4 linked regions of the Drosophila melanogaster genome follow. The protein of the gene in region 3 interacts with the protein of the main gene of each other region in a pairwise test. Each region holds a gene or a part of one and is shown on either strand. Other genes may lie near its edges. The genes, in order: RpL32, zld, CG31999 and Cpr64Ad.

Region 1 (6,825 bases), on a different chromosome or scaffold from region 3:
AATCCGGACACAGCGAAAGCGATCTTATTAGTTTCCAAATCACTGAGATTCTTAGGTTAGATTGAGTGGGGCGAGCCATATTCTAAATACGCGGGCTTATCTGTATGAGATTTTTTTTAATACTTCATTGGCTTGAAGTGCTTAATTAAGATTAAACATATCCTTACAAAGATTCTAATTAGCTACCTAAGTCAATTGTGTTCTTTACACTTATGTAATTACTTCATTAAGTTGAAGCCATTCGCATAATTTATATAAAATACAATTAAAACATACCATTATAAAAAAATTATATAATTCAATTCAATTTTTTCAGGGAATCAATAAATTAAATGCTACTCGTTTTCATAACTAAAGAAACCAACACCACCATAATAATCAACAACAAATTATGTATTTATGCAAATTGAATATCCGTTTGCAATATTGAGCAAACACATATTTTTATTATTCAACTCATATATTTCAGTTTTCACACCCTGTTCCATTCCCACCGTTCCGTTCCTGGCATCAATCGGCATCGTTCGCCAGCCCTGGTGGGCATTATGCCATGGTTGCATTTCACGCATTTTAGTATAGCTTCCGATATTCATCATTTTGCCAACTCTATTAAATTTCATACACAATTTAAAAGATTGTAAACAAACGCCGCACGAAACGGAATCGCTAAAAGGACCATCGTCGGCGCAATGGATACTTGCTTCTTCTGCGGCGCCGTCGATCTGAGCGACACGGGCTCCTCCAGCTCCATGCGCTACGAGACGCTGTCGGCCAAGGTGCCGTCGTCGCAGAAAACAGTGTCCCTGGTGCTCACCCACCTGGCCAACTGCATCCAGACGCAGCTGGACCTGAAGCCCGGCGCCCGGCTGTGCCCGCGCTGCTTTCAGGAGCTCTCCGACTACGACACGATCATGGTGAACCTGATGACCACCCAGAAGAGGCTGACGACCCAGCTAAAGGGCGCTCTAAAGTCCGAGTTCGAGGTGCCGGAGTCCGGCGAGGACATACTCGTGGAGGAGGTGGAGATACCCCAAAGCGATGTCGAGACAGACGCCGATGCCGAGGCGGACGCCCTGTTCGTGGAGCTGGTCAAGGATCAGGAGGAGTCCGACACGGAGATAAAGAGAGAGTTCGTGGACGAGGAGGAGGAGGAGGACGACGACGACGACGACGAGTTCATCTGCGAGGACGTGGATGTGGGCGACTCCGAGGCCCTGTATGGCAAGTCCTCCGATGGCGAGGACAGGCCGACGAAGAAGCGCGTCAAGCAGGAGTGCACTACCTGCGGCAAGGTGTACAACTCCTGGTATCAACTGCAGAAGCACATCAGCGAGGAGCACTCCAAGCAGCCCAACCACATCTGCCCCATCTGCGGGGTGATCCGGCGCGACGAGGAGTACTTGGAGCTGCACATGAATCTGCACGAGGGCAAGACGGAAAAGCAATGCCGCTACTGCCCCAAGAGCTTCTCGCGCCCGGTGAACACCCTGCGCCACATGCGCATGCACTGGGACAAGAAGAAGTACCAGTGCGAGAAGTGCGGCCTGAGGTTCTCCCAGGACAACCTACTCTACAACCACCGGCTGCGCCACGAGGCTGAGGAGAACCCCATCATATGCAGCATCTGCAATGTGTCGTTCAAGTCGCGCAAGACCTTCAACCATCACACGCTCATTCACAAGGAGAACCGCCCAAGACACTACTGCTCCGTCTGCCCCAAGTCCTTCACCGAGCGCTACACCCTCAAGATGCACATGAAGACCCACGAGGGCGACGTCGTTTACGGGGTTCGCGAGGAGGCGCCCGCCGACGAGCAGCAGGTGGTGGAGGAGCTGCATGTGGACGTCGACGAATCGGAGGCGGCCGTCACCGTCATCATGTCCGACAACGATGAGAACAGCGGCTTCTGTCTCATTTGCAATACCAACTTCGAGAACAAGAAGGAGCTCGAACACCACTTGCAATTTGATCACGACGTGGTCTTGAAATAAGCTACATTGCCTACAATAAGTAATTGTTTATCTTTCCCTAGTGTATTTCCTCCTCTTTGTACTTGATTATTGTAGATTCCTACAAAATATAATTTACTGGTATTTCAATTACTGCGTTTCATTTAGACAGAAGCATTTCCGATAATAATTGTACACTGTTCTGTAAAAATAATTGCGAATATATATATGATTTCATATAAACAACCTCTTTCAATACTAAGGGGGAAAAATGTAAAATATATAACAAAATTCCCTGATAAGGATTGATGCTGTCTAGTTTTGGCACGTCAAGGAATTTATATTGGTCTAATATCTCGAGGCAGTTGCTATCAGAAAGAAAGACCGCAATGGTCTGGATTAACTGATATCCATCCAGATAATGCACATGTTATCAATGGTGCTGCTATCCCAATCTCAGAAATGACAATTGAACTCGGCACTCGCACATCATTTTTTAACTAAAAGTCCGGTATATTAACGTTTACAAATGTGTATTCCGACCACGTTACAAGAACTCTCAAGAATCTTAAGCTTACTCGTTCTCTTGAGAACGCAGGCGACCGTTGGGGTTGGTGAGGCGGACCGACAGCTGCTTGGCGCGCTCGACAATCTCCTTGCGCTTCTTGGAGGAGACGCCGTGGGCGATCTCGCCGCAGTAAACGCGGTTCTGCATGAGCAGGACCTCCAGCTCGCGCACGTTGTGCACCAGGAACTTCTTGAATCCGGTGGGCAGCATGTGGCGGGTGCGCTTGTTCGATCCGTAACCGATGTTGGGCATCAGATACTGTCCCTTGAAGCGGCGACGCACTCTGTTGTCGATACCCTTGGGCTTGCGCCATTTGTGCTGCAAGGAGACATGTTGATTAAACACGGGTACAATTTGGCACAATCCTCGTTGGCACTCACCGACAGCTTAGCATATCGATCCGACTGGTGGCGGATGAAGTGCTTGGTGCGCTTCTTCACGATCTTGGGCCTGTATGCTGGGCGGATGGTCATCTTGAAGCTGGAAGGACACAACAAAAGTAGCCATTAGTGCACTGACCCACTGGAAATATCACTTATCAAGCTAATAACACACAAGGTGTCCCACTAATGCATAATTCAACCAGGTTGGGCTAGCTTCTTGGGCAGTATCCATTGAGTTTCCGGTGTGTCGCCCCACGAATTCCCATCACAAACAGAAGCCATTTGGCGAACTCTCACAGGAATCGATCCGAATTCGGTCGAAATACGAGCCGCACACTTGCGAACAGCGCACGGACTAACGCAGTTCAACTCGAAACCGCCAAAAACGACAATTACGGCTTAAAATTAATGGAAATACACGTGGGCCCAAAATCACGCACATACCTTGCCGGAAACCAGAAGCGAAAAGAAAAAGCTGGTGGTGTGAAAAAACATCGATACGTCGTGCGTCGATGATTCGCCGATAGTTTCGTTCATGGCGATGCCAAGCGATATATTGCGGATCATCGTGTAATGAATTTAAACTTGGGCGCGTCAAATAAGGTGTTGCAGGTTTAATCACTATCCGAGCAACTGCGACGATTGCAACTATGTGCAACAAAATATGGAACTATTTTCAGCTTGGTGGAGTTTGTTATATAATTAAATATGCTTTGCCTCTTGACCCACTGTGCAGTGTGAACATATTTCATTTACACACTGGATGCAACAGCTGTTCAATAGATGTTTTGCAGCACCGTCATCTGATAAAAAACGATAAGAAAGCTGGGAATGAAAAAGTAAAAAGCTGACAGAAGCGATCAAGGAGCAGGTGTTCCCGAGGTTTAGGAGGCTAATACAAAAGCATCCAAGTCGTGGATTTAGAGCACCCAATGCATACCAGCACATGATAAGTTTCTGATCCATAGGGTGGTCTTTGCGTCAGTGGAACAAGTACACAGGGTGATTCGGTCAAAATAAAGTGACAGTGCTGTTAAACGCACTGCTAAGAATATTTTAATTATACGGTGTTATATTAAGTTTGTAAATTACCGAAAAGGGCGAGTACAAAACTCAAAGCCGCCGCTGCTAATTTAAGTTCGACAATTAATTTTGGTTGGCTTGTGAACAATTTGGATAACAGAGTCCTTTGGTATGCAGCAGAGGTCCAGCGACGGTCACACTGGCCGTGGCCGTCAAACCGTGGTTCTTCTTCATTATTATATAATTAAAACCGATGCGAATCGAAACCAAAACAAACCAAACCAGCGCAATCCCCGTGTTTGAATAGTTACAATGGTAACGCGGTGACAAATGCGCACTTCTCCACACGCCCGAAATAAACACAGGACAGCAGCAAGATGAAAGACGATGGAGCACCAAACGTCGCGAAAACCACCGACCCACCGCCCCCTAAAAGGTTTCCATCCGGAAGAGCACACAGCCCACATGGAGACGGGGAGGCGGGGAAACTGCTGCATGGCAGCGTCTTCTCGAAGCGCTTCTTCGGCTCCTTTCAGTGGGAGGAGTTCGCCTGCGGCTGCGGAGCAGCCTTCGTCAACATCGCGGTCACCTATCCCATCTACAAGATGATCTTCCGTCAGATGCTGCACGGCGTGCCCATCACCTCGGCCTTTGCACAGCTGCGTCACGAGGGACTGGGCTTCCTGTACCGCGGCATGCTGCCGCCGCTCGCCCAGAAGACCATATCCCTGTCCATCATGTTCGGTGTGTTCGACGGGACGAGGAGGTACCTCGTGGAGGACTACCGCCTGAACGACTACGGGGCCAAGGTGCTAGCGGCCGTGGTGGCCGGCAGCGCCGAGTCCATCCTCCTGCCCTTCGAACGGGTGCAAACCCTCCTCGCGGACTCCAAGTTCCACCAGCACTTCTCCAACACACAAAACGCATTCAGGTGAGCTGACGGATCTTTAAGTTTGCTAATGGGATCTTCTTATGGCTTTTAATCATTCCACAGGTATGTGGTTTCCCACCACGGCTACCGGGAGCTCTACAGGGGACTCGAACCAGTATTTTGGCGCAACGGCCTGTCCAACGCGTTATTTTTCGTACTGCGAGAAGAGGCCAGCGTCCGGCTGCCTAAGAGAGTGAGTGTTGACCCTATCACACATACGAACCTACTAAGATACTAACCAATCCGTTGCCCATCCACAGAAATCCGTATCCACTCGAACAGTGCAGGAGTTCATAGCGGGCGCCGTGATCGGTGCGAGCATAAGCACAATATTCTACCCGCTCAATGTGATCAAGGTGTCGCTGCAGAGTGAGATGGGCCAGAGGTCTGAGGGCAGCTGGCAGGCGTGCAAGCGAATTTACGTAGAGCGCGATCGCCGCATTGGCAACTTCTATCGCGGATGCCCCTTCAACACAGGCCGCTCCTTCATCAGCTGGGGCATCATGAATACGGCGTACGAAAACCTAAAGAAACTAATGCAGCAGCAGCCGCCGTTGCCACTGGCCTCTGAGTAGAACTAGAGTTAACTTAGCTGATTGTACACAAACGGTTACTTCTGCCTTTAGCTAGCCAATTATTTCGTTCGATTTAAGTCTCGCCTAAGTCGCTTGTGCACAGATGCTGAATTCTAGGTGTTAATGTACATACACGCATCCCAAGCGGAGGTCGCCTGCTCCTCCTACTCATATCTGTATATCTGTATACCTGTAGATCTATTCAATTCGCCTCGCGGATGCCAAGTACAATACAACGTGAGCATTTAAAGGTACCCAATCTTCGAGTTACGGTTTAGTTAGCTACTTTTCGTGTACGTGTAAATAATACTAGATGATGTGCGATATAATACGAGTGTGTTGTTTGTGTTCGCCAATAACTTTGTGATTGATTGAAGATACTACAACTGATTAATTAACGCGGTAGATTCAATGTTCTTAAACGAAAATAAAAGTGTATTTGTAATTACGAACGAGGCTTAAGCGTACATCTTATGTAAGTTTCAGCATTTCATTTCATTATCATTAAGCACACACAACTTAAACATCTAATCTAAGGCTAGTGGTAGGGTACGAGTATCACAAGTAAGATTAATTGCGGCACAACGGGCCTATCGCCTCTTGAGGGAGCTGCGGTAGCGCTGGTAGAAGTCCTCCATGGCCCTGTACTCGGGCTCCAGTATGTCGGGGATCTCCTTGTCCAGCGAGGCGAAGTACACCATGGCCACCGAGCTGCTGCCCCGCAGCTGTTGCTCGTACCGTCGCAGCTGCTGGAAGAATCCGGAGTTCGGGCGAACCTGCGGACGTATGGCCTGCACATGCTTGTAGGCCTCGCGCAAGCTCATCCCGGCGTGCTTCATTAGATAGGCCAGGCACAGGCTGGCCGAGCGGCTGACGCCGGCCACGCAGTGGATCAACGTGCAGCCGCCGGAGAGATGCACCTCCTCGATCAGATCGGCCGCCTCGTCAAAATGCTTGGCCAAGTCCACCTCGGAGCGATCCTGGGCCATGATGCGGAGATAGAGCGGGTTCTTCTGGCTGGGCAGTGGTGTGTCCGGCAGCTCGGGCGCCACGTTGATGACGCAGCTCACGCCCAGTTTGTCCATGTAGGCGGGCACCACCGCCGCGGCACCGCAAAGGATCAGCGATGGAGTGATGCGGGACAGACCGGGAAACGGCGTGTGATCCTCTAGCGTGGATGCACTCAGCTGACTGCAAGGAATCAAAGAGGGAATACTGGTGAGTTCTCATTCTTTTTCCGAACAAAAGAAAGCTTATGCAATGCGTTAAATTTACATAGCTACAAAGTTCTGGGGGGCTCTGCCAAATGGCATAAATGCGCAAATATTTGGCTGGACAACCTGGTGCACTTCAAAGTGGGTGAAAAACCCGATAAAATAAGAACATTTCGCGGGCG
Region 2 (8,418 bases), on a different chromosome or scaffold from region 3:
CCACTACCAATAATAGTGTGATAGCTCATTGTGGGGTCCAGCGGCTGCAGCTGCTGGTAGCATTGCGGCGGCGGCGGCATGATGGGCATGTGCATGGTGGGCGGCATGGGCATGGTGCTGGTGATGTGCGGCGGCGGCGGCTGCAGCGGCAGCAGCTGCGGCGCTGTGATGGTGGTGAGCGGCATGGGCATGGTGGGCGGTGGGGAGCTGCTGGTGGGCGAACTGCTGCTGTGCGGCAAACTGTCCGCCAGGATTAACGCCTGCTGCTGCTGCTGCTGCTGATCCAGTTGGTGAAGCTCCCGCTGCTGCTGATGATGATCCGCCTCCTGGCGCTGGTGCTGCTCCCCCAGCTGCTGATGGAGCGGGTGGAGCACCGCCTGGTAGTGGTGCACCAGCTGCTGCTGCGGCGGCTGCATAGTGTCCGGCATACTGGTGGTGATGGTAGTAGCTAGCGGCGTGGTGCTGGTGCTGCTGCACTGCAGCATATTGCTGTGCATGAGCGTGGGCATGGGCATGGGCATATCCAAAGCCAGCATGTTGTAGTCCATTGCCATAGGCGGCAGCATTCCCATAGGCGGCAGCGGCTGCGGCGGCGGGGTGGTGCGCGAGAAATCCGTTCCCTGCTGCTCCTGCCGGTAGATAGTATGGGGCGAGTTGCTGCTGGGCGTGCTGGGATTGGTGTTGCTGCTGCTGAGCGTGTTGGGCGTGCTGCTGTGGTAATGACGCGCCGACAGCAGATACTGCTGCGACGCCTGTTGATGCTGATGCAGGTGATCGTCCGCCTGCTCCTGATCCCGCAGCTCCTGCTCCTCCGCCTCCTCCGTGGCCATTGAGCTGCTGCTGCTGCTGCTGTGGCTCCTGTCCTGGCTGTGACTGTGATTGGGATGCGTGTGTGTGTGGGTGTGAGTGTGGTTGCTGTCCTCCATTTGCTCGCTCTTTATAGCTACCGTGGTGGCCGCCGTTGTTGTTGTTGTTGCTGTTGTTGTGATTTGTGGTGCTCGGGTTGTTGTTGTTGGTGGCGGCGTGGTTGTTGTTTCGTTCAGCAGGCCCCTCATTTGGGAGGACGGCATTTGGGTGGTGTTGTTGTTGTGTGGGGCGGAGGGACCTGCTAGCCCGTTTGGGTGACCGTTCAAAACGGAGTTGTGGTGCTGCGGCATCTGCTGCTGATGGTGCTGCTGCTGTTGTTGCTGCTGCTGCTGGTTGTTGCTGTTGTTGTTGGAAGCGTGCTGTGGTGAAGCGTTTGTCGTGGATTGCACTTGTTGCTGCATGTAGCCATAGCCGTTGGCGGTGCCATTAGCATAGCCGTTGGCCTGCTGCTGATGGTGGTTGAGGTGGTGCTGCTGCTGCTGTGTGGGCGAGGGTGAGGCCGAGTACTGGGACATGGCAGCGCCGCCCATCGCTCCCACGCCCAAGCCGCCTCCTCCGCCATAATCGGGCGGACTTCTAGGCGGCTCCGGGGGTGGCACATTGGCCGGCGGCGGCGGTATCGGCGGCTGTTGCTGCTGACCCTGACCGCTGGCCGAGGCGGCAGCTGCAGCGGCGGCCGCAGCGGCTGCGGCATTGCCCCTGCGACTGGGCTTCGTCACCGGGTCGCGGGCGGGATGGTGGTGCGCCGAGATGGGCAGGGTGGCTGGATCCGGCTGGCCGCTCGACTTAACCGCATTCTTGTGCAGCGTCGTATTGTAGTGGCGCTTAAGATGGCCCGAGCTGGTGAACCACTTGTTGCAGGCCGTGCAGTTGTACGTTTTCGGACGGCGCGCCTCGTTCGACTTCCAGGTGGCCGCCTTGGCCGTCAGGCTGTTGGCCGGCAGCACGGAGCTCGAGCTGGGTGGCTCGAAACCGCGGTATCCACCTCCTGGCGCCGCACCCGCCGCTCCCTCCTGCCCTGGTCCGCCCGTAGTGGTGCTGGGGAACTCCGCCGGACTGGTGGCCACGCTGGCGCACAGTTCCGCGCCACCAGCTCCGCCAGCTGTGGGATCGAAGGACTTGTCCACGTAATGCTGCGAATCGGGATACTCGGACTTGATCAGTCCGTGGCCGCCGTACTCCTGCTTGATCAGCGTGGCTCCGCCAACGCCGGTTGACTGATGATAGGGTGACTGCTTTGGTGAGTAGTAGGGCGACTTGTCCACACCGACTCCCAGCCCCACGCCCAATCCCTGCTGCATGTAGGGTGGCAGGCCCTCCACGGAGGCCACCGTCTGCTGTGGCTGCTGCTCCCAGCTGTGGAGTGCGCGCTGCTGCATAGATTGCATCGAGTGCAGCGGATCCGGCAGAGCGCCCAGCGGCAGTCCAGCGACCACGTCGTGTTGCTGTTGTTGCTGCTGGAGCAGCTGCTGGTGATAGACCATCTTCTGGGAATCTAGGTCGAGTAATTCGCCGGGATTGGCCGTTGCGGATCCAACGCCGGGTGGCTGTGGTGTGGGCATCTCCTCCTTGATGTACGGTGAACTGGCGTAACCGCTGCTGCCGTACGGCGACTCTCCGTGCACGTTGGCGATGTGCTCCTGTAGCTCCGACTCGTTGGTGGTGAGGATGCCGCACTTCTTGCACTGCAACTTGCATCCGGCACTTCCGGCGGCTCCGCCTGGTGAGCCTGGTGTCTGGCCACTGGAGCTGCCCAGCTGCAGGTGCGAGGACGTCGACGTTGGACTGCTGCTGCTAACCACACGCGGACTCATGGCCACCGCTGTGGTGGTGCTGACCGCGCTGGGCGCACTGCCCGCCTCCTCCTGTGCCGAGCTGGCCGTTGGAATGCCTCCCAGTCCGGAGGTTGGCGTCTGCAGGTAGGGATGATAGCGAACACCGGCGCTCTTGCCATAGTCAACGCCCACGGTGCCAAAGGCGTAATCAGTGCCCTGCTGCTGCTGCTGTTGCTGCTGGTAGAACTGCTCGTAGCTGTTGATGTAGCTGCTGGCGTAACCCTGCTGCTGCTGCATGTCCCCGCCGTAGAGTCCGCCGTAGATCTGCTGCTGTTGTTGCTGCTGTCCGCCAGATGCGGAGTACATGTGGTGGGTGGCGTACGGCTGGTGGGTGATACCCGTTACCTGCTGCTGCTGTTGCTGCTGCTGGGGATCTCCTCCACCCATGGCCTGCTGCTGCTGCTGTTGCGATTGTGGCTGCTGCAACTGTTGCTGCGTCGATTGCTGCTGTTGCGTGGGCTGCGGCGTGCCGGGTTGATTATCACTGGAGTCGGCGGCGGCGCTAATTGTGGCATTGGGTGTGGCGGGCGCACTGCCTACGCCTCCCGTTCCTCCCGCTCCTGGTCCGCCCGATCCTCCTCCACCTCCTCCTCCTCCTCCTCCTGCTCCTCCCCCACCACTGTCTGTAGCACTGCTGGAGGCGAGCGCCTCTGCCGCGTGCAGGGGCGGCATCTCGGTCTTAATGCTCGTCATGGACCGCTACATAAGTCGATGCTTGGTGGCTGCTCGGTGTTTCGCTTCTCATGTCTCGAGCTCTCCGGGATCAGTGGTGCATCCTCTGCTCCTGCTGCTACGCTGCTTGCTTTTCGTTGGCTCTGCTGAGCCGATCGTTTTTGTTTTGGGTTTTTATGTTATATGCTCTCGTTTCGTTTTATTTTTTTGTGATTTTTTGTTTTTTTGTGCTTTGTATTTGTACTGAAAATAAGCCAATTATTGTTTAAGCCATTATTAGTTTGAAGTTACTTGAGTTGCAAACGGAAAAAAAACAAACACATGCACACTGTGTTTTCAAAGCTTTTGGTGTCTAACGGTTCTTGGTGTCCATTTCACTTCGATGCGAAATTGCAGGCACTTTTGTAATTTGATTTGTATGGTGGAAATACAATAGCTTTTACTTGCGAACGTAATGTCAACTGCAATTGTTTGTGGAGAGCACACATGGACGCTCACGACGCACACTAACACACACACTCGAAAAAAATATATACATGAAGGATCCTCGATGAAGATCCCTTTTCCGTTCTCTTTTGCTTTTCTTACTTATCTGCGCCTCGCTTTGGGCACTTCTTCGTTGGACTTGGACTTCTGCTTCGCTCCTTCTTCTTCTGCTCCGCTCCTCCTCCTTCTTCTCTTTCACCGCTCCTCTTCGGCGAAACGAAAGACACACAACAGCAGACTCGATAAATAATACGAAACTGAACTGAACTGAACTGAAGAAACCAATATCGGAACCGCAACGAATGCTGGTCAATTTTGAATTTCGAATTTTGTTTTTGCGAATTGCGAGGGAAGCGAGAATGGCGATGCGATGTGATCACACTCTCCCTATCTCTCTCTCTCTCTCTTTCTTGCTCTCTCTCGCCACTTTTTTTTTTACCGGTGATTTAGAGTTTTTCGGTTTGGGTTCGCTTTTCGCTTCGCCCTTTTCCAAAAGATCACTGGAATTCGCGTTTATCGTTTATCGGGGATCGGATCGAACAGAAAAAAATTGTTTACGAACACAAGTATTGCATCGGAATTAAATTTGTTGTTGATTCCCGAGCCGCGATTAGTTCGTTTAGTTTGTTTTTCAATTGGTTTGCCGAAAAGTTGTTGCCAAAAATGTTGCGTTTTGTGAGTGGGGAAAATGAAACAAAAAAGGGCGCTAAAAGTAGCCGCTCCACTCCGTTCGCACGCTTCGTCGCTTTTTCACCCGTGTCCTTCTGTCTGCTACGGCGTTCCAAATACAAATGACCGACAAATACACCGCCGTGCATGCGGCACATTCGTTCTACCCGTTCTGCCGGCAGCGACGCCGGCTGCGACTGTGGCTGCGGCGTCGCAGTCGACGCACATGCGTGGCTGTGTGTGTGTGTGCGCTATATACACTGCGCGGCGGCGTTTCGGTTATGTGCGTGCTGTCTCTGTCGCGCACGGCTGCCGTCAACGCCGCTGCATTTGATTTTGCTTTGCTTTTGGTTTTGCCTTTGCTTTGCGCTGCCTTTACTTTGCAATACCCTTTGCATTGAGAGTACCACAAGTTAGCTCGGAATCAAGATAAAGTATCCCATGCATAATTAGCATTAGTTGAGACCTAAGTTTTGCAATCTGTTTAGATCGAACTAATAAATCCTCTCGAAGACATGTACATAAACGATTAGTCGCAATTTGAATGCTTATATTTTTATGCCTTGAATGGCATTATTAGTGAAAACTGATGTTTAATATACATATATACATATGTTTTATAATGCACACATATATACATACGTTTTATAATGCACACAAATTTGAATCCTTTTTTGCAAGCCATCACAATTTTCCACAGAAAATTGCTGAACGGTTATAAAAAAGTAATTTAAGTAAGGTCATTGATAACCGGTTTTGCACTTAACAATCCGTAGAATTTGGATGGATCGCAATTGTAAAGTGTATTTGTAATAATACACAACTTCTGCATTGCCTTTCTAGCAGCAAATCAATAGCTTTGATCGTGTTAAAATGATTTTCCACTGTTTATTTATGAAATTATTTCGCTGTATTTGCGTTTCTGGATATATACAGCGAACTGCATATATTTAAGCCGCCCTAGGCACTAAAAATTTTATATGAAATTGTTTTCTTTAGGATGGTTGGATTTCGAAATGTTTATTCCGATCTCTAGCTTAAAACTCTGGCAGTTCGTAGAAGTCATCTACGCTATGAAGAACTTACCATATAAATAAATGTTTATGTACTCTATTGTAATAGCAAAATTTAGCTTAAGTGGCGATAATGTGGATTTTTCAAGAACACAGCGAAGATTGGTTGGCCCTTTTGTGTGATCCACCGATTACCATATCGCAACTCGCCTAATTTAAAGCTGTGTTGCAGTTCTAGGCTTGGTTGCTCAGTTGTGCCCGTTTTTTTTTTTTTAGCCTTGGTACGAACGGCGGCTTATTAATAGACTCCTCGAAGCGTCTTAGTCAGATGTTGACTCACTGGACCGGGCCAAAACCAATTCGCACTACTAGCCTAGTTTCTGAGCGACCGGCAACCGACGATTATCGACGTCACGGGCCTCGTAAAAGTTGAGAACGTTCAAAAAATTAATAAACCAAACTTTTATTGCGTTGGGCATACGGGAGTGCAGAGCTGAGAGACAACGAAAGCTAATCTACATTTAAAAAGAAAGGAAAAAATCGTAAGCTAGGACTAACGGATACCCTGTTATCAGATTCTGTCATAAGATCATAAGCTCACTAGAGAAACTTTTTTAAATAGAAGACTAGAAGAAGACTAAGCATGTAAGTAAGTATGCATAAGTATGTATGTACATATATATTCCAAAGATGCAGGCGATCTTTCGTCTTTCGAATGGGTATGCTTTTTCCAATCTACGATTAAGGGGTATAAATAGCGACAGAAAGGGTTTGAATCTGTTGGTAACTATGGGGTTTCAAGTTGTTTTAGGTTTTATTTTTTTTTTTTTTTTTTGCTGGGCAACTGGAGCTGGGAATCAAGCTCAGCTGAGAATGGCCCAAAAGTATTTAAAAATTTCGTAAGAGAAAAGGCGAGGGCTAATGGAGCCCAGATACGAGTACCTCCATCGCAGCCACACAGATACGAACTCCACTGTGCGGCTGTGTGCGTGGGGCCTTGAGGAAGAGTTTAGATTGGAGTAGGGCCGGAGGAGGGAGCGAGAGAAGGCGAGAGTGAGGCGGCGGAGAAGAGTGCGACAGAGAGGCCTGAAATTTACATACATGATTGTCATAAAAAATCAGCAAGCAAATTGTCAAATCCCTAAACTGACAATAAAACAATAAAGCAAACGACGAAGACGAAGACGCGGGCGAGACGGACGACGAATGTGGGTGGAAGTGTGGAGAAGAAGGCGAAGAAGAAGGAGGAGGAGGAGGAGGATGGGGCAATGCGAGGGAGGGAGAAAACGATTGGCGAGTTGAGTGATTGGCAGTGAAAACCGGCTGCAAATCCCGAGATCTGATATTCCACATATGTATATGTATGTACATATCTCACGGATAGTTAAACTCCGTTAGGAGATATCTATGAAACCAATTTGTTGGTTAAAAATATATTTTTATTCAGTATATTTAGTATACATTCATACACTTATGTATATCGTCACTATTCGACGATCTGCTGTACATTTTCTTTGTATTTCTTTGATTGCACAGTTTATTTAGTGATTAAAAAATGTATTAAGCCTAGTTAAAAAAGCCTACTAACCATTTCTTAATTATCATTAATTTAATATTGAGATAAACCCCACAATTTCCATTGATTCCCTAATCGGTAATTAACTTATATATGCATATGTTCATACTTATGTACATATGTACATATGTTATAGAGAATTATGGACATGTAGAAATTGTTAGCATATGTTGCCTGCGGTGGCAGGTGGCAAAATGGCTGGAGGGGAGAGCATTGCTGCAAAAGCTGATGCAACTGTTGCAGCTGATGCAGTCGACTGCAATGGGATTAGCCCATTTTATGGCGCATTTATGGGCACGCAACAGTTGACCTGCAGTGGCAAAAGTTGCAGAACTTCCAGGCAGGTCATCTGCCCCTCCAGGTCTGCAGATACAGATACATGGTAGCAATTAATTATACCCTGTAATCGGATGTAATAACCACGAAGTACCAGAAAGCGACACTTGTCACATAACCTTGGAGTGGGTTAGATATTTTTCTATACATTGAAGTTTAATCCTTTGAAATGAGAAATATAGTGAGAGATCGTCTTCAATCATGTTTCACAATTATCGTTATATTTTGTAGCATATTACGTCGTATCACAGTGACGATTACATTACCAACTTAATTAATTAAAAATAATAATGCTCATAGTATTTTCTTAGTCTGGTGCCTCATCACGTTGAAATAACGTTAGAAAAGAGCGTAGAGTACCTGAATTTTGACCTACCACCTGCGGAATAGGATTTGCCATCCCTGCCACTTGAGCAATTCTACGCAGAGTCTCTGCGCCACATGCCTCCATACTCGGATCTCGATCCTCGATATCCAACCGGGTAATTGCAAGGTGCGTGCATCGATATGTCTCTGCTATATCGGCAGATTTATACGGACGGACGAATGGACAGACGAACGGACAGACGAACGGACAGATAGACAGACGGCCGGAGAAGGGAGGGTGGATCTTGCGTGCTGGTGTCAATCACAGTCCTTCTATCGCTCGGGTCGGGTTTTTGGTTCCTCTGCGTGCAACTTGTGTGCCGCAGTTAATGACTTTTTAATTGAGCAGGTACAGATGTCCGTCCCAGCGCCGTCACTTTTTTCCCTCTTTTCTCTTAATTGCGCGGGACGATGGGCAACTTACACCTGTAACTTTGAATTCTCAATAATGCAATCTAGCGACGTGTATGCAGGATTTCAATGCTGTAACTCACCACTGTCGTGTGCAGTAACAATATGTTTTTGAATTAAATTAAAATAAAACATTAGCTTTGTTTATGCCATCACTGTTTCATTATTGAATCCTGCAAGCAAAGTT
Region 3 (8,556 bases):
TTTACACGTACATATATCAAATATATCTTTTCACTTGCCTATTTCCCAATGTTATTTGTTTAAAAAAATATTTACTGCAAACAATACTGTAGTATCGAATTATTGAAAGATAATAATACAACTAAAATCCGTATAGGCCAATAGAATGAACATGAATTCATGCGCCTGCCTTTAAGAATATGATTGCACATCAAAGATAGCTTCCACACTGTCCACATGCTTATTTACTTGATTATCGGCTCGTTCGCATACAGCAATTTGGGAAATGTGTATTTAAAAGTCACACACAAATACATTTATTTTCACAAATACAAAAATATTTTCTCGTAAATTTATACGTATGTATACAGCATCTTTGTTCGGCAAACAAGCGCATCGATGAGAGCCCCTTTTATTGGAACGGAGTACTTTATTTACTATTTTTATAGTTATAAGTCGCAGTGTCTTATATGCACTTACATACATACCTTGTTTTTAAAACTTAAATTTACGAATGAGTAAAGTGCGAACCATCTTTAAGTTAACATCGCCCAAATTTGATTATATTCAAAGTAATATCTCGAGAAAATACTGTAACATGAATATACATATATCCATTGATGTTCGATATTTCTTTATAGATAGTAATATTCTCTTTTAGAGATGTTATATTAAGTACACCCAAAATCAAACCACTTTCAGAGGAAACTAATGACGATAACACGAACTTGAAGATACAATAGAAGAAAGAACACGCTCCCTACCTGTTACTTCTTACAATTGGATATAACCTTTCACAGTACGACTAAAAAATATAAATATATTACAAACAATTGTATACACGTTTGAATTTGAACCCTAATATTCATTCGTTGAAAACTAGAATGGCGGAGGGAAGAACTGCTGACCCATAAAGAATATACTTCGAATATTCGAGCAGAATCGCAAGCCAAGTTGATCTAGCAATGTACGTCCATTTTAATTTCGTGATCTTTAAAATTTTAAAAGCTAGAAAGCTAATTTTAGATACGTATGTTCTTAAAAGTCCGATCTTATGCCAATTTGGAACTCGTACACGTTTAAAAACTGTTATTCTTTTAGTCAATTTAGTTAATTGCTTGGACACAACAAAGCGCAAAAATCTGTTAGACCCAAACCTTCAAAAAAGGTACTAGAGTATCATTTGTAACGGACGCAAATACCAAGGTTGTTCAAAAATTTACAACATTTTGTTGTGTAATTGTTTATTTACCATAGTTTTCAAAAACACTGTCCTTCTTCTATCAACACAAAAGCTGACTTTGATGTATTAATATAACTATTATCCGGATTGCAAACACTATTGCGAATAATCTTATTTACATTCGCCTTTAAAATTCGAAAATTTACTTCTCCATAATCTAGATTGCTGTATAGAAAAATTGGTAGTCGGTTACTTATAAGCCATACATTTTGATCTTTTTCTTTGTCTACTTTTAAATCATTTGGAAATTGAATAAGATTTGAGTTTTCCATATTATGAAATTTTCCCAAATGTGCTCGAGTGTATGGTTTCGATGTATCCCAGCATCCAATATCATCTTGATGAACTTGTGTAAAAAACATAATGCCATTCCTTGTAACTCCTGATGTAGATGATTGAGAATTATATCCGCGGTCTCCAATTGGTATGAAGTACTTGGCGTACTCTTGAGTATTCGTTTGCCACACAGATTCGTTTAACAAGATATTCATAGGCACCATGAACTCCTAAATGAGAAAGTATTATAATCACAATTATTATTATTATTATATCAGTTACTCGTAGAGTATAAGGGATTGCTAGTTTGGTTAATAAAAATAAAACAGAAATAAGCCTTTTCGGACCCTACAAGCTGCAGATAATTAGCTTACTTAAGATTTAGATTTATTTAAGTACCTTAAGTAAGACTGATCAAGTAGTAAGCTGTAGGAGGGGTTTTTAAAAGTAAGTCGGCGAGCCATTATTTAGACAATAAAGACAATGTTAAGAAAGGCATTTTTTAAAATCAATATCAAATCAATTCCCAGCCATTTTCTTGTCTTTATTTATATACTCCTTATACTCACCTTGAAACTTGCCATTGGATGAAAATAAAGAACGCGTTCCATTATTTTCTTATTGTAATATATACTCATTCCAAAAACACCATCCAGCCATTGAAAATTTAATCCGTATACATTAAAATCCGAAGCAAAGGGATCCGGATAAAAGTTATAGTTGGTCACGCGCCAGCTGCGGTTTTTTGATAGGCTGTAAACAAGTAGACCAAATCTCCATACATCCGATACGATAGCATGCGCATCATCGCAATCTTCTCCAATATCCACAACAATATTGGAGTGCAACGAATCTTGCTTCACATGAGAAGCTTCCAAATTGTATCGAACAATCAGTTCGTCACTTTTAAGATCATACACAACAATTTTTGGTGGGCAGATCTGATTTAAGTTTATTGTAGCATTGACAATTCCAGAATCAATTAGCCAAATTCGATCACACCTATCTACAGCTGTTCGATAAACTGACATCAGTTTTGAGCAGTCAGGATTGTTTGGATTTCCATGAGCCTCCCAGTTTGGATACGGCTTTATTGCCGGGCTTGACTCTTTTGGAGGAAAGGGCAGTGTACCTAAGCTAGCAGGCACACCATTCTTCCAACGAGGAGTTGTCACAAACAGGCGGTTATTATGGACATCAATGCCTAAAGGTAAATTATTTTTTGGTACAAAGTCTCTGTAAATATTAATATATTATAATAATTAGACAGTAAATTCAGCGCAGTAGAATAACACATAAAGCCAGATTATGATAATCCTTTATGTAACAGTCTGTAACAGCCAGAAGGAAGCGTTTCTGACCATGTTCTATATGGTCATATACAATATTCTTTATAAGGATCAATAGCCAAGTCGAACTGGCCATGTACGTCGATCTTTATTTGCATTTGCATTTTCCCTAGCTGTGTAACGGGATTCTGATAGTCGGGGATCTCGACTATAGCATTAGAGATAATGCTAGGATTTATTCATCAATATTAAAGATATGGATGAGACGCACTGAATGATTCGAATGAAAAGAAAGTATTTATAAGAACTAGTCTCCTATAGTTTTCGAGATAAGATATTAATTTGTTAATTTTTTTTCGCATTCGCAGTTCCACGAGCTGATTAACGGATATCTGATAGTCGGGGATCTCGACTATTTGTGACATAAGAGCGTCAAATAGTTTATTTTTCGAATTTTCTTTTATACCTCTCACAATACAAGCATTTTAAATTTATTAAAGGCGTATTTTTTGATTTTTTTACTAGTACTACAATTTGTTATTAATATTAATACATTTTTCAAATTATCTCTTGATTTGTAAGAAACTGTTATAACCAAATTGTTTTGTTACCCATTTAAAATAGATTGTTGGCGTTGCACAAAAGTTGAGTATAGGAAATCCAAATATTTCCATTCATAAACGATCTCCAGTTGACTTTCACTCTGTAAGTTTTGCGAAAACGACTGCGAAGTATATTCATAGCCATCAAGTGTTTGGAAAACTGGTTGAACACTTAAGTTTCCATTTAAAGTCTTCGATAAAAAAACTAACTGTGTAATTATATTAAAGATAGTCATAGACTGCATCCTAGCTGAATATTAAATAAATAATTCTCAAAAATGTACTCTATGGAATCAATCGACCAGATCTACCAACGTTTAAAGACTGATTTAATGTATGTATGTTTAAAATATCTTTTACATGCTTGTTGATGCAGATCAGAGCTTTTTTGTAAGGTATTGTGACAACGCTTAAGCTTTGTTTTAAAGCTTTTTCAACTATGTAGGTATGTATCTATCTATGTGTTGTCTTGATCTCCACCAGCCGAAATTGTTTGAATTTGTTCTTTTGTTTCGCATTTCATTCAAACGTGTAGCCTTAATTTCACTATCGGACCTGTCCCAAATTTTAATCGGTATTGAGTTTTACGAGTTTTTTCTAAACTAACCATGAGCAATATAATCCTCAGTATTAACAAAAATTTTAACTTTCATCAATTTTTTCAAATGGTTTTGATTGATCAAGAAAATTTGTATTATATTCAATATCTCAATCTATTTGCTGGCAAAAACAGCTATTATTTCAATTCCATCAAATGATTTATATAAATAAGTTTTAAAAAAATAAATAAATATTGTTTTAAAGAGTGTTGAATGAATTCAAATGTTGACATCAGATCCTTGCATGTAGATTGTTCGATCGTCACTTTTTTTCACATCTTTAAGAGTTGGTTTGGTTTGATGGGTAATAGGGGTAAATAGTCTGCGCCAAAAAAAAGTATATATATTTGTATGTATATATATTTACATATAAGCCACCATTTCCGACCCTATAAGTAAACACTTACATATATATGTATGTTGTTGATCTAGATTGCTAGCCGATTTTAAGCTCTTTGCCCCCGTCGGTCATCGTTTATCTGTGTATAGTTATTATAAAACGTAGGTATGTATGTATAATAAAATATAAAATATAATAAAAAATTCAAATTTTAAAGAGCGGACAAAACGACGGTCACAGTTAAGCAGGTATGGTTGTACCAAAGACACTAGAATAGTGTCTAGACACTAAAATAGTGTCTTTGGTTTTACCGAGATATACATACAGTTTGTCAAGAAACTGTTTGCACACTGTGAAATAAGTTGAATTTTTGGCTTTAATGGTAAAAATTAAGAGTTATTTGCTTAATTAAACGGAATTTTTTTATGAAATTTAATTAAACAATATTTATTATACTAATAAATCAAAAAACAAATTAAAATATTAAATATACAAGTCAAGAAACTCTACACATTTTGTTTTCGTACTTTGTCTTGTTTTTTTTCTTAGAACTAACTCGATTTTTCCGTGGTTTTTGGTTGGTTTGGTTTTTCCGTGGTTGGTTTTTGTATTGCATTTTTACGCTTCTATTGAAATTTTTTGACTTTGCTTGTGAAATTTTGCTGATCGAACGTGCTTAAAGTAAATTATTAAATTTGATAAAATGCCTGGAAAGAGATTAATTGTTTAAGTTACCCAATTAATAAACTATAACCACCAGTTGGGAAAATCTATTCCAGAATTAGTAGAAATGTTTTCTGTATCCCGTACGACCGTCTACAATGTTTTAAATCGCACGGAAAAAGAGGAGAGGCTTGAACCTAAGAGTCGGTTGGCGCACAACCAAAATTATCAAGCGCGTAGACCGCATTATTATACGAATAGTGATTGCGAACCCCCGAATCTCGGTCAGAGCACTTGCTCAGGATGCCAGAGAAGAATGTGACCAAATTGAATGAACATATGTATGTATGTATATTGATCATATCTTAAACGTTTTCTGCTACCTTTACCTAGTTTCAATAATTCACATTGCTCCAATTCACAAAACCTGGGATTAGCAAATAAAAGTGTGTTTAATAAGAAAATATAACAGCAGGTCGTCGAACAATAAACATATTTATGTACGTAAATACATGTAACGTATAGCGTAGGCTTATATACATACATATGTACATACATATGTCAACAGCTTGCTTTGGCCCACACGCGTTTCAGTCTTAAATCCTCTTCGTTCTAAAATTATATATTTGCTATACATACATACAAGCATATACAAACATGCATGTGTGCGCTGCTAAGTGACTGAGATAATTCCAGATAGCGTATGCACATGAGCGTTCTTTATTTTCTCATTCATTGCCTGACCTGTTCATTTAAAGCTCCCATCTTTATATTAATTTTATTTTTTACCCGGATTTGATTTCTGAACCCGTTATGTTTTATAAACTATGTGCTTTTATGTGTTTCTTGATAGTTGGAGGGCATGTCACCACCACAATGGCCAGTGGTAAGTAATGTGTAGTATACTTGCTTATATGTCAATAGATATGAATATTTATATATGTACCTGCCTACTGAAACCGCCCATTGTATATTTTGGGCAAATCTTTAAAATTGTATTAGGTTAGTTATAAAGTTATTAAGTTATAAAGTTATAAAGTTATAAAGTTATTAAGTTATTAAGTTATTAAGTTATTAAGTTATTAAGTTATTAAGTTATTAAGTTATTAAGTTATTAAGTTATTAAGTTATTAAGTTATTAAGTTATTAAGTTATTAAGTTATTAAGTTATTAAGTTATTAAGTTATTAAGTTATTAAGTTATTAAGTTATTAAGTTATTAAGTTATTAAGTTATTAAGTTATTAAGTTATTAAGTTATTAAGTTATTAAGTTATTAAGTTATTAAGTTATTAAGTTATTAAGTTATTAAGTTATTAAGTTATTAAGTTATTAAGTTATTAAGTTATTAAGTTATTAAGTTATTAAGTTATTAAGTTATTAAGTTATTAAGTTATTAAGTTATTAAGTTATTAAGTTATTAAGTTATAAAGTTATAAAGTTATAAAGTTATAAAGTTATAAAGTTATTAAGTTATAAAGTTATTAAGTTATTAAGTTATTAAGTTATTAAGTTATTAAGTTATAAAGTTATAAAGTTATAAAGTTATAAAGTTATAAAGTTATTAAGTTATTAAGTTATTAAGTTATTAAGTTATTAAGTTATTAAGTTATTAAGTTATTAAGTTATTAAGTTATTAAGTTATTAAGTTATTAAGTTATTAAGTTATTAAGTTATTAAGTTATTAAGTTATTAAGTTATTAAGTTATTAAGTTATTAAGTTATTAAGTTATTAAGTTATTAAGTTATTAAGTTATTAAGTTATTAAGTTATTAAGTTATTAAGTTATTAAGTTATTAAGTTATTAAGTTATTAAGTTATTAAGTTATTAAGTTGTTAAGTTATTAAGTTATTAAGTTATTAAGTTATTAAGTTATTAAGTTATTAAGTTATTAAGTTATTAAGTTATTAAGTTATTAAGTTATTAAGTTATTAAGTTATTAAGTTATTAAGTTATTAAGTTATTAAGTTATTATGTTATAAGGCTTTAAAATTATTACCACACTAAGGTATTTAGATTTCGGATATGAAATTGATAAATGACGAAAAAGAATGCTAGCCTCGGGCAAGGGACATCACCATATGGACTCATGTGTTGATACTGACTAAGAATACTTATAGAGTTGAAACCTTTTGATTTTTACCAATATATACTCTGGCTTAAAATATCCTGTGATCAAGCGAAAGTGAAAGTTTTATTTTGTTTTAAGACAGCATATCGGGTTATATACGAAAATGCTGTATAAATGGACTTCGACATGCTCGTACGACCGCCTCTTGCAAAAAAATCGACATAGCCCCAACAATAATCCCGCAGCTCTGGCTTGGACTTTGTCATTCTACACTTGAAGTCTGCTGTTCTCGAGAACTGGACCATCAAGATTGCGAGCTAGGTCGACTGGCTGCTTTAGACGGTACTCGCTGTGACGGAGAAGGAAATGTAACATCTAGCTCCTATGCGACATGTTGTCGTTCTTGTCAAATCGGATTAGCAGTTAAAGCGAGTAAAGCCAATTGCAAAGATCCATTATTTTCATTTATTTTCTTAATTGAATCATACCGAGCGTGCTGTTACGGATCTGCTGACTTTAAAGACCAGCCCGGTATCGACGAAATCGATAAGGCTAATTCTATTACTGATGAAGGTGAATTGCCGTTTGTTTCTGAAGAGGATATGAATGTAACTATTGTTCTTACCGGCGATGGTAAGTATATCTTATTTGTGTATCATTTGAAATCATAATTAATTGTACTCATTGGTAGATGACATATGTGGAAAAATTGAAAACCTTTGCGCTCACATATGCGAAAACACTTTCGACGCATACCAATGTAAGTGCCACCCCGGGTTTATGTTAGATAATAACAACGTAACATGCTCTCCGATGAAAACCCAAATATGTCCCAGCGGTTACAATTTAGATAAACTGGATAACAAATGCATTGACATTGATGAATGCCGGGAAGATCTTCATGACTGCAAATCATCCCAATATTGCCATAATACGAATGGCGGATACCACTGCTTAAATGTGAAAGAAAAAGAGTGTCCACCAGGATTTCATTATGACCATGATTACGATGCATGTAAAGGTAATTTTAAAAACTGTTTGAAATACAGATAAAACTAGATAGTCTAGACTAAACTGGACTATCAGTTTTACTCTGCTAGGATGGGTAATGGGATATTTTAAAATTAAAATTTATACAATAAACACATTCCATCCACAAATGTGCTGCCAATTTGGGCAGCTTTCGGCCGTGGGCGTGGCTTAAACTTTTTTGGCATATGTATTTAAAAGACTAACAATTAAATAACAAAAATGACAACGTTTCCTAAAAGTGTCGGGTGTTCCAGTTTTGGCGGTTTGCGGGCGTGAAATAAAGAGCACACCCCTGTAACATATTTTTCAATATGTCGTGTATGCCCTTTATCTCTGCGAGTACAGGTATAAGCTATGAATCGGTTCGGATATCTGAAAGTTTAAAAAACTTATATATAGCATTTTTAAATTGTATTATTTTAGTTTTTAATCAGTCTTAATCCGGTATCTGAAAATTAAAAAT
Region 4 (6,891 bases), on a different chromosome or scaffold from region 3:
CACAATTCTCCCCTCCATTGAAGCCCCACCAATATGAATTGTGATAACCGTAAATATAGTTGGCACTACGTGATCGGAATCTAAGATTGGGAGCTTTAACTCGAAGCTCGGGACCTACCCCAATGTTTAACTGGGTTAAGCAGGGGAATGTGGAGCATTCCTAGAAATATTTCAACTTTTCGAATATCACTTCCAACCGATCAGTTCCATCGAACAACTAATAACAATTCATTCAATCTTTTTTTTTGTACCGAAACTTTTATTCAGTAAATGCAGTTACTAATTCACTAAGTGGCCGATAGCCGTTCCCCAGATCCCCAGAACGGTATCCCTAAACGTAGTCTATGGTGGCGATCCTTCGATCGGAGATTGGGAATGTGGGTCAACAGCGGGGTGGCAACAGCACGCACGTCCTTGTGTTTCGGGTTTTGACTGACAGAAAAGTGGGTAAATGCATTAGAACTATTTAACAACGGTCCTACAACTAGGCCATGGAGTTTGTCATCGCTTGGTCCACCGGTTCATCGCCTAGTGGTATCCACCCAGACTCAGACCAGGCGCCGAAGCGTATCCAATCTTGGTGATGGCGGGAACGGCGGCGACGGCAAGAGCTGGCTTGGCAATGGCCACCGCGGCCACGCCCTTCTTCTCCACGACCGCATTGAATCCGTTGACCTTGTCGGCGGTGTAGGTGACCTTGCGAATAGTGCCATCGGGTTCGGCCAGGGAGTAGCTGCCGTGGACGACTCCGTTGACCAGGGTCTCCTCCTGCTGCTTGGAGTCACCGGTGTGATGATCGGTTACTCCGTACGAGAAGCTGTACTGCGGATTGGGATCGTAGGGCTCGGCAACAGCCACCTTGGCCACAGCGACGGGGGCAGCCAGGACCTTGGGAGCATAGGAGATGGCAGGAGCGGCATACGAGATGGCAGGAGCCGCCAGGAGTTTGGGAGCAGCATAGGAAATGGCAGGAGCAGCAAGCAACTTGGGAGCCGCATAGGTGAGTCCAGGGGCCGAAAGTCCATAGGGATCAATGGGAATGGCCACAACGGCGGACAGGATCAGTCCCAAAACGAACAGAGTCTGGCGAGGAATTCCATGATCAGTTGAGCCAACTAAAAGCTGCACTCCTTTGGCCAACTCACCTGGGCAATCATGGCGAAGGATGTGAGAATGAGGGAGCTCTGGTTTGGATGTGTCTGCACTGCGAGAACTCAGCTCAAATGTGAGATGCATTTTCCGCGTGGTCTTCAGTTTTATATTCGAAACTGGCGGCAGCTGCCAGCGGAAAAAAAAACTGGACAATCTAATGGGCAGAGTGACAATTGCGTCTCATTTGGTGGCTGCCCGATCTCGATCTCGATCTTGCACCCCAGACCTCATCGCTGATGGCGGATTTCGTGTTTCTGGTGCGGATTTCATCATTGGTGCTGGCTTTTCTCAATGGAATAACTGCAGCCGCCGCTGCCGAGGCACACCACTCACCGAAGTCCATTTGAGTCCGTTCAAGAGCGCCGCTCCAAGATACCCAGCTAGTCAGCTACCAGCAACACCAGACTCGTTTTCCGCTGACTCGCTGGCCGATCTGGTTTCATTTTTTCGCCGTTTTTTGGCACATTCTCAGGTTCTCCAGCCAAAATTTGTCTGATGTAATAAGTGCCTCATATTGTGGCAGTTTCAGTTGCAGTTGCCACAAGAACAGTGACAGTGCTTTTTTAGCGATTGTAGGTACCCTTTCAAGAAAAATCTTTAATATCATCAAAGACCTAATGAAAATATGTATTTACTCTCAATTTTCTGAAAATGTATGAAACCAAGATTACAATTGGATATGTAAACACTCATTTGGCGAACATACTTCAATCAATATTTGAATATGTAATTGAAATGCCTGCTGTTAAGTTATGCCGATTATCACTCACACGCCATGTTGTCCAAACGCAAGCAAATTTCGCTTGGTTTGCGTGACGTGCGAGTAATCTTCATAGTAACATACATGTCCAATGTGCCCACCCAAAGTGCAGGGTATAAAAACAAGATCAATCGTTCGCAGCCACTCGTTTAATTAGAAAACGAAAATGGCAAGTTTCGACGGCTTGGTGGAGGGAATGGAATTGGGCGGGACGCAGGCGCAATTACGCACTGGCACACGCATTAACCCCTCGACGATCCGATTTCCACCTGACCAACTGGACCAGCGCCCACATTGCTGAGCCCGGTCACTTAGCCACCGTAATTGCCTCGATCGGGCCAAAAAGCATTTAGCCGGCATTTGGAAGCTCTAACCGCGGCGACCTTGCTCACAATTGGCAGCTAAGTGGCTGTGGTTAGTATTTCATCCACTTTTAATTAATTCTCATCTCAGAGCAGAGTCAAGCGATTGGGCAAGGAACTGCATAAATGGCAGTGGAGCATTCCATTCGCTTTGGCCAAATTGGACGACTGTATATCCATGCTGGTTTCCGGTGGCGACAATCTACGCCGACAACCGTTAGTCAGCTACCACAACCCGACGAGTAATACCACCATTTGGTGCCAACTTTTGGGGCTCTCTCCGCTTCTCCGGATCGCTCAGCGTCTCTCCGAGGTGAATCCGCAGCCAACGAGTCGCAAGGTCGTTGGTTGCATTTAGGAAAAGAGTCACGAACTCAAAACCAGCCACCAGTTACAGCACGAAATCGATGGGGAATCTTTAATCAACCATGGAGTTAGGCAAATTCCAAAAGACCAGAGATTCTTGTTGTTACTGAAGATATTTGTTAGGAAAGCATGTTAAATTTAAAATAAGATTTATCCTTTTCAGCAAAGTCGTTTAGGGGAGGAACTAAAAATCTCCTTATGGAAACATAAACCAAATGCATGGCCATTTATTAGAATAATATCAATATAATTGATGTATCAAATGTTGATAATCTTTCAATAGATTTACAATAGTAATATATGGGTATATAGTATATATATTAGTCTAATCGATATTACTGGGCCACATTGACCCAGTTTCACCTTGTTAAGTGAAACCGAACCCCTTGTGAAAACCCTTATTATGTATAAGTGGTAACTCATTAGCATAAGTAATTGATACCCAATAAGGTGTATAAGAAACTTTCCAATTTATTTGAGACAACCAATTCAAGTAGTACATCAAAATCAGGATCATTACACTCTAAAGATACTTTTTTATCCCAGAGATATATTAATATTAAGTTTTTGAGCTTGAACCCTTGTCAACTCGACGTCATTATGGTAACTTAATTATAAGTTTCGCGCTTTTGGTGTAAAGGAAAATTAAAAGCACTGTCATTGGATGGAACCTGCATGACAATTACCGAAAACTACTGCTCCGAAATATAATCAAATCGCATTCACTTTCGATCCGAACAAGGCAAAAACAGTGGCAAATAAAAATGAAAACTTGGTGTAGCCACCGCAAGACGACTGAAAATTGGAGTACGTGCTGCGAATTTGGATCAAAGCCCGAGACGCAGACGCAGCCAAATGCTGGGTAGGAAGAGGCGGCCCCAAAAAGCGGCGATGGTGATGATGCGGGGGGCAAGGAGCTCGGACAATGGGCTACCATACGCAATTGGTACGCAGTTCCCTCCACGGAGCACCGCATGCAAATTTCGCGAACGCATCTGGGTATAAAAGTCGTGGTTTTTTTGTCCAAGGTATGTCAGTTCATTTTCGATAACCGACGGTGACAATCGCACTAAACCCCCACCCAAGCCTTACAATGAATCCTCTGACGGTAAGTGTTGGTGATGGCTTCGGTGAACCCGTCAGGTCAGGAGACTAAACTGGACTCCATGCATTTTCCTCACAGGTTGTTGCAGTCCTTTCCTCGATGGCCCTCTCGGCTCAGGCTGGTCTGGTTGGCGCTCCTCTGGCCGCCGCTCCTCTGGGTGCTCCTCTGGCTTACTCCGCCCCTCTGGGACCTGCTCCATACTTCGCCCCGGCTGCGTACTCCGCCCCTCTGGGCTACGCGGCTCCTTTGGGATACAACGCCCCTCTGGTGGCGGGACCTGCTCCCCTGGTGTCCAAGACCTACGCTGCCGCTCCTTTCGCCGCTCCCTTCGCTGCTCCAGTTGCCCCAGTTGCTGCTCGCCTGGCTGCCCCAGTCGCCGCTCCTCTCGCTGCCCCAGTTGCTCCAGTAGCCGCTCCCCTGGCTGCTCCAGTTGCTGCTCCCCTGGCTGCTCCAGTTGCTGCTCCCATCGCCACCGAGATCGTGGATGCCCACCCACAGTACAAGTTCGCCTACGATGTCCAGGATACGCTAACCGGTGACTCCAAGACCCAGGAGGAGACTCGTGATGGTGATGTCGTCCGTGGATCCTACTCTCTGATCGAGCCCGATGGTTCCCGTCGTATTGTCAGCTACTACGCCGACTCCATCAACGGTTTCAACGCAGTGGTGCAGAAGGATGTGCCCGTGGCTGTTGCCCCAGTGGCTCCAGTTTTGGCCAAGACCGTGGCTGCTCCAGTGGCTCCAGTTGTGGCTGCTGCCCCCGCTCCAGTCTTCGCCAAGACCCTGGCCGCTCCCATCGTCGCCTAAGTAGAAGGAGGAGAAGTAGGAGTCGTAAAGGAAGTATTGACCGCAATTCGACAAAGGACTTTCATCTGTACATATTCGATTAATCATTGTCGAGCTATTGAATAACTTTCATCGCAAAAACCCAAAATTAAAGAAATTCTGAAAACAAAAGATTGTAGTTTATTGTTTAAAGGCATCCTGGATTACGAGAGTGATATCATATAGAGGCTTAAGAAAATTATTTAAGTATTTTAGCTTTAATATTTATAGGTAATATTTATATGTATCATTCTTTATATTTTAAGGATTACACTTAAAACTTGGTGTTCTTTTTAGGGAAGTGGATGAAGAGTTCTGGAAGCTTTCGCAACATGAGAACGTGGCCAGGATGCGTCTGAAATTGGAGCCTCAGTTATATCCAAATAAACACGAGAATGCCGCCAATCTGCGCGACAATGCGACCAGTGCCTACGACACCAAGTAAGCCCAGCCAGTCCTTAGTAGTGTCCTTCATAATCTGATTTTCAATATCCTTTATCTTAGGGAAATCTCTGAATTTGACTCCACCATCAAGAATGCCGTGGTGCGCGATTTCCTGGCGGATGACGAAAGTTCCCAGCTGGAGGAGGAACTACGTCAACTGATCGACACGCAAGCGCAACAGGATGTGGCGCTGGAGAAGCTAGTCATGTCACAGGACTGTGAGCTGATCACGCTGATGACCAAGGTGAAGGGACGCATTGAGGTTAACCAGAGCGTGTTCACCTTTGTGGACTTGAGCCCGCCAACAGAGGATGGTTCCAAATACGATTTCAGGTTCTCCACCAACAAGATACGTGAGGTTCATCTGCGAAAGTACAATCTGCGCAGGAGTGCTTTGGAAATCTTCCTGGTGGATCAGACTAGCTACTTCCTCAACTTTACGACGAAGGTGAGTTTTTTTTTTGTAAATAAAATGTGATCATTGCAAATGTTCTTATTTCTTTAAGACTCGAAATAAAGTTTTCACAAAAATCGTGGGTCTACCGCTTCCAAACATACTCTACGGCTCGGGAAGATCGCCGGCTGAGCTGCTTAGGGCCTCGGGACTCACACAGAGATGGATCAATCGTGAGATTTCCAACTTTGAATACTTGATGTACCTAAACACAATCGCAGGTAAGCAAATAACATCTGATTATTACATACATTTTTATCAAACTAACGTATTTTACATAACTAGGTCGATCCTACAATGATCTAAGCCAATACCCCGTCTTCCCCTGGATCCTTGCTGATTACACCAGTGACGTGCTGGATCTTACCGATCCAAAATCGTTCCGTGACCTATCCAAACCCATTGGATGCGTAAGTATTACTGAAAATAGAAAAAGGTGATCAGTTACATGACAAACGCATTTCTACCGCAGATAAATCCTAAAAACGAGGCCGAAGTGCGCGGCAAATATGATTCATTCGAGGACCCCTCTGGTGCCATACCAAAGTTTCACTACGGAACCCACTACTCCAACTCGGCCGGCGTGCTCCACTATTTGCTTCGCGTCGAACCGTTCACCTCGCTGCACATTGATCTGCAGAGCGGTCGTTTCGATGTGGCCGATCGACAATTCCACTCGATACCTCAGACGTGGAAGTTGCTAATGGACAATCCCAATGACGTGAAGGAGCTGATCCCCGAGTTCTTTTACTTCCCAGAATTCCTTAAGAACATGAATAAGTAATGCATGTGGTTTTTTACTTTTACTTAGTTAGCCTAATGTTATTTTATGTGCAGATTTGATTTGGGCCACTTACAAATAACCAAAGAAAAGGTGGACGATGTCATATTGCCTGCTTGGGCTACCACGCCGGAGGAGTTCATAGCCATACACCGACGGGCTTTGGAATCGGAGTATGTCAGTCAGCATCTGCACCACTGGATTGATCTGATCTTTGGGTATAAGCAAAAGGGACCCAAGGCAGCTGAGGCTCTAAACGTTTTCTATTATTGCTCCTATGAAGGCGCTGTGGATTTGGACAAGATCACCAACCCTGTAGAACGGGAGGCGGTTGAAGGTGGCTTACACCAAGACTTTTTTTTTTGCTATTTTTATTGACATCCATTCATTTATATTAGGAATGATTAATAACTTTGGCCAAGTGCCTTCACAGCTGCTGCGGGAGCCACATCCACGACGCCTTACTCAGGATGAGACGGCTCTAAAGCTGGTACGTGCTGAGCTCCGAAGGCCGGATCTTACTCAGTTCCTGGACAAGGTGGTGCAGTACTACTGCGAGCTGTCCACGCCCAAGGATCCCATTGTGTACCTGAGTCCACCGCGAAGTCCTCCGCGATCGTTCCTGCAGCTGAGTCCCGATGT

The links.
Region 1: the proteins of CG31999 (region 3) and RpL32 interact in a two-hybrid assay, tested with the Drosophila melanogaster proteins (one large-scale study listed by BioGRID).
Region 2: the proteins of CG31999 (region 3) and zld interact in a two-hybrid assay, tested with the Drosophila melanogaster proteins (one large-scale study listed by BioGRID).
Region 4: the proteins of CG31999 (region 3) and Cpr64Ad interact in a two-hybrid assay, tested with the Drosophila melanogaster proteins (one large-scale study listed by BioGRID).

The regions. Positions count from the first base shown.
Region 1 is NT_033777.3:30,042,790-30,049,614, forward strand, and holds RpL32 (ribosomal protein L32), read right to left. Parts: upstream 3,352-6,825; 5' UTR 3,133-3,351; coding exon 3,101-3,132; exon of another isoform or gene 3,073-3,100; intron 2,998-3,072; coding exon 2,898-2,997; intron 2,836-2,897; coding exon 2,524-2,835; 3' UTR 2,440-2,523; downstream 1-2,439. Other genes in the region: Sry-alpha (serendipity alpha), read left to right, coding at 1-65; Sry-delta (serendipity delta), read left to right, coding at 690-1,991; CG7943 (uncharacterized protein), read left to right, coding at 4,301-4,854, 4,918-5,047, 5,115-5,429; CG15528 (uncharacterized protein), read right to left, coding at 6,020-6,620.
Region 2 is NC_004354.4:19,778,892-19,787,309, forward strand, and holds the start of zld (zelda), read right to left. Parts: upstream 4,658-8,418; 5' UTR 3,963-4,657; exon of another isoform or gene 3,618-3,962; 5' UTR 3,396-3,617; coding exon 1-3,395. UniProt on the Drosophila melanogaster protein: Transcription factor required for zygotic genome activation (ZGA), a critical event in early embryonic development during which the developmental control passes from maternally provided mRNAs to the expression of the zygotic genome after fertilization.
Region 3 is NC_004353.4:223,083-231,638, reverse strand, and holds the start of CG31999 (uncharacterized protein), read left to right. Parts: upstream 1-3,890; 5' UTR 3,891-3,963; intron 3,964-5,088; 5' UTR 5,089-5,804; coding exon 5,805-5,877; intron 5,878-7,199; coding exon 7,200-7,694; intron 7,695-7,752; coding exon 7,753-8,082; intron 8,083-8,556. Other genes in the region: yellow-h, read right to left, coding at 1,240-1,728, 2,068-2,734, 3,399-3,634.
Region 4 is NT_037436.4:4,211,717-4,218,607, forward strand, and holds Cpr64Ad (cuticular protein 64Ad), read left to right. Parts: upstream 1-3,662; 5' UTR 3,663-3,733; coding exon 3,734-3,748; intron 3,749-3,823; coding exon 3,824-4,552; 3' UTR 4,553-4,698; downstream 4,699-6,891. Other genes in the region: CG43367 (uncharacterized protein), read left to right, coding at 4,868-5,011, 5,075-5,462, 5,521-5,689, 5,754-5,878, 5,941-6,248, 6,306-6,586, 6,648-6,891; Cpr64Ac (cuticular protein 64Ac), read right to left, coding at 529-1,083, 1,146-1,157.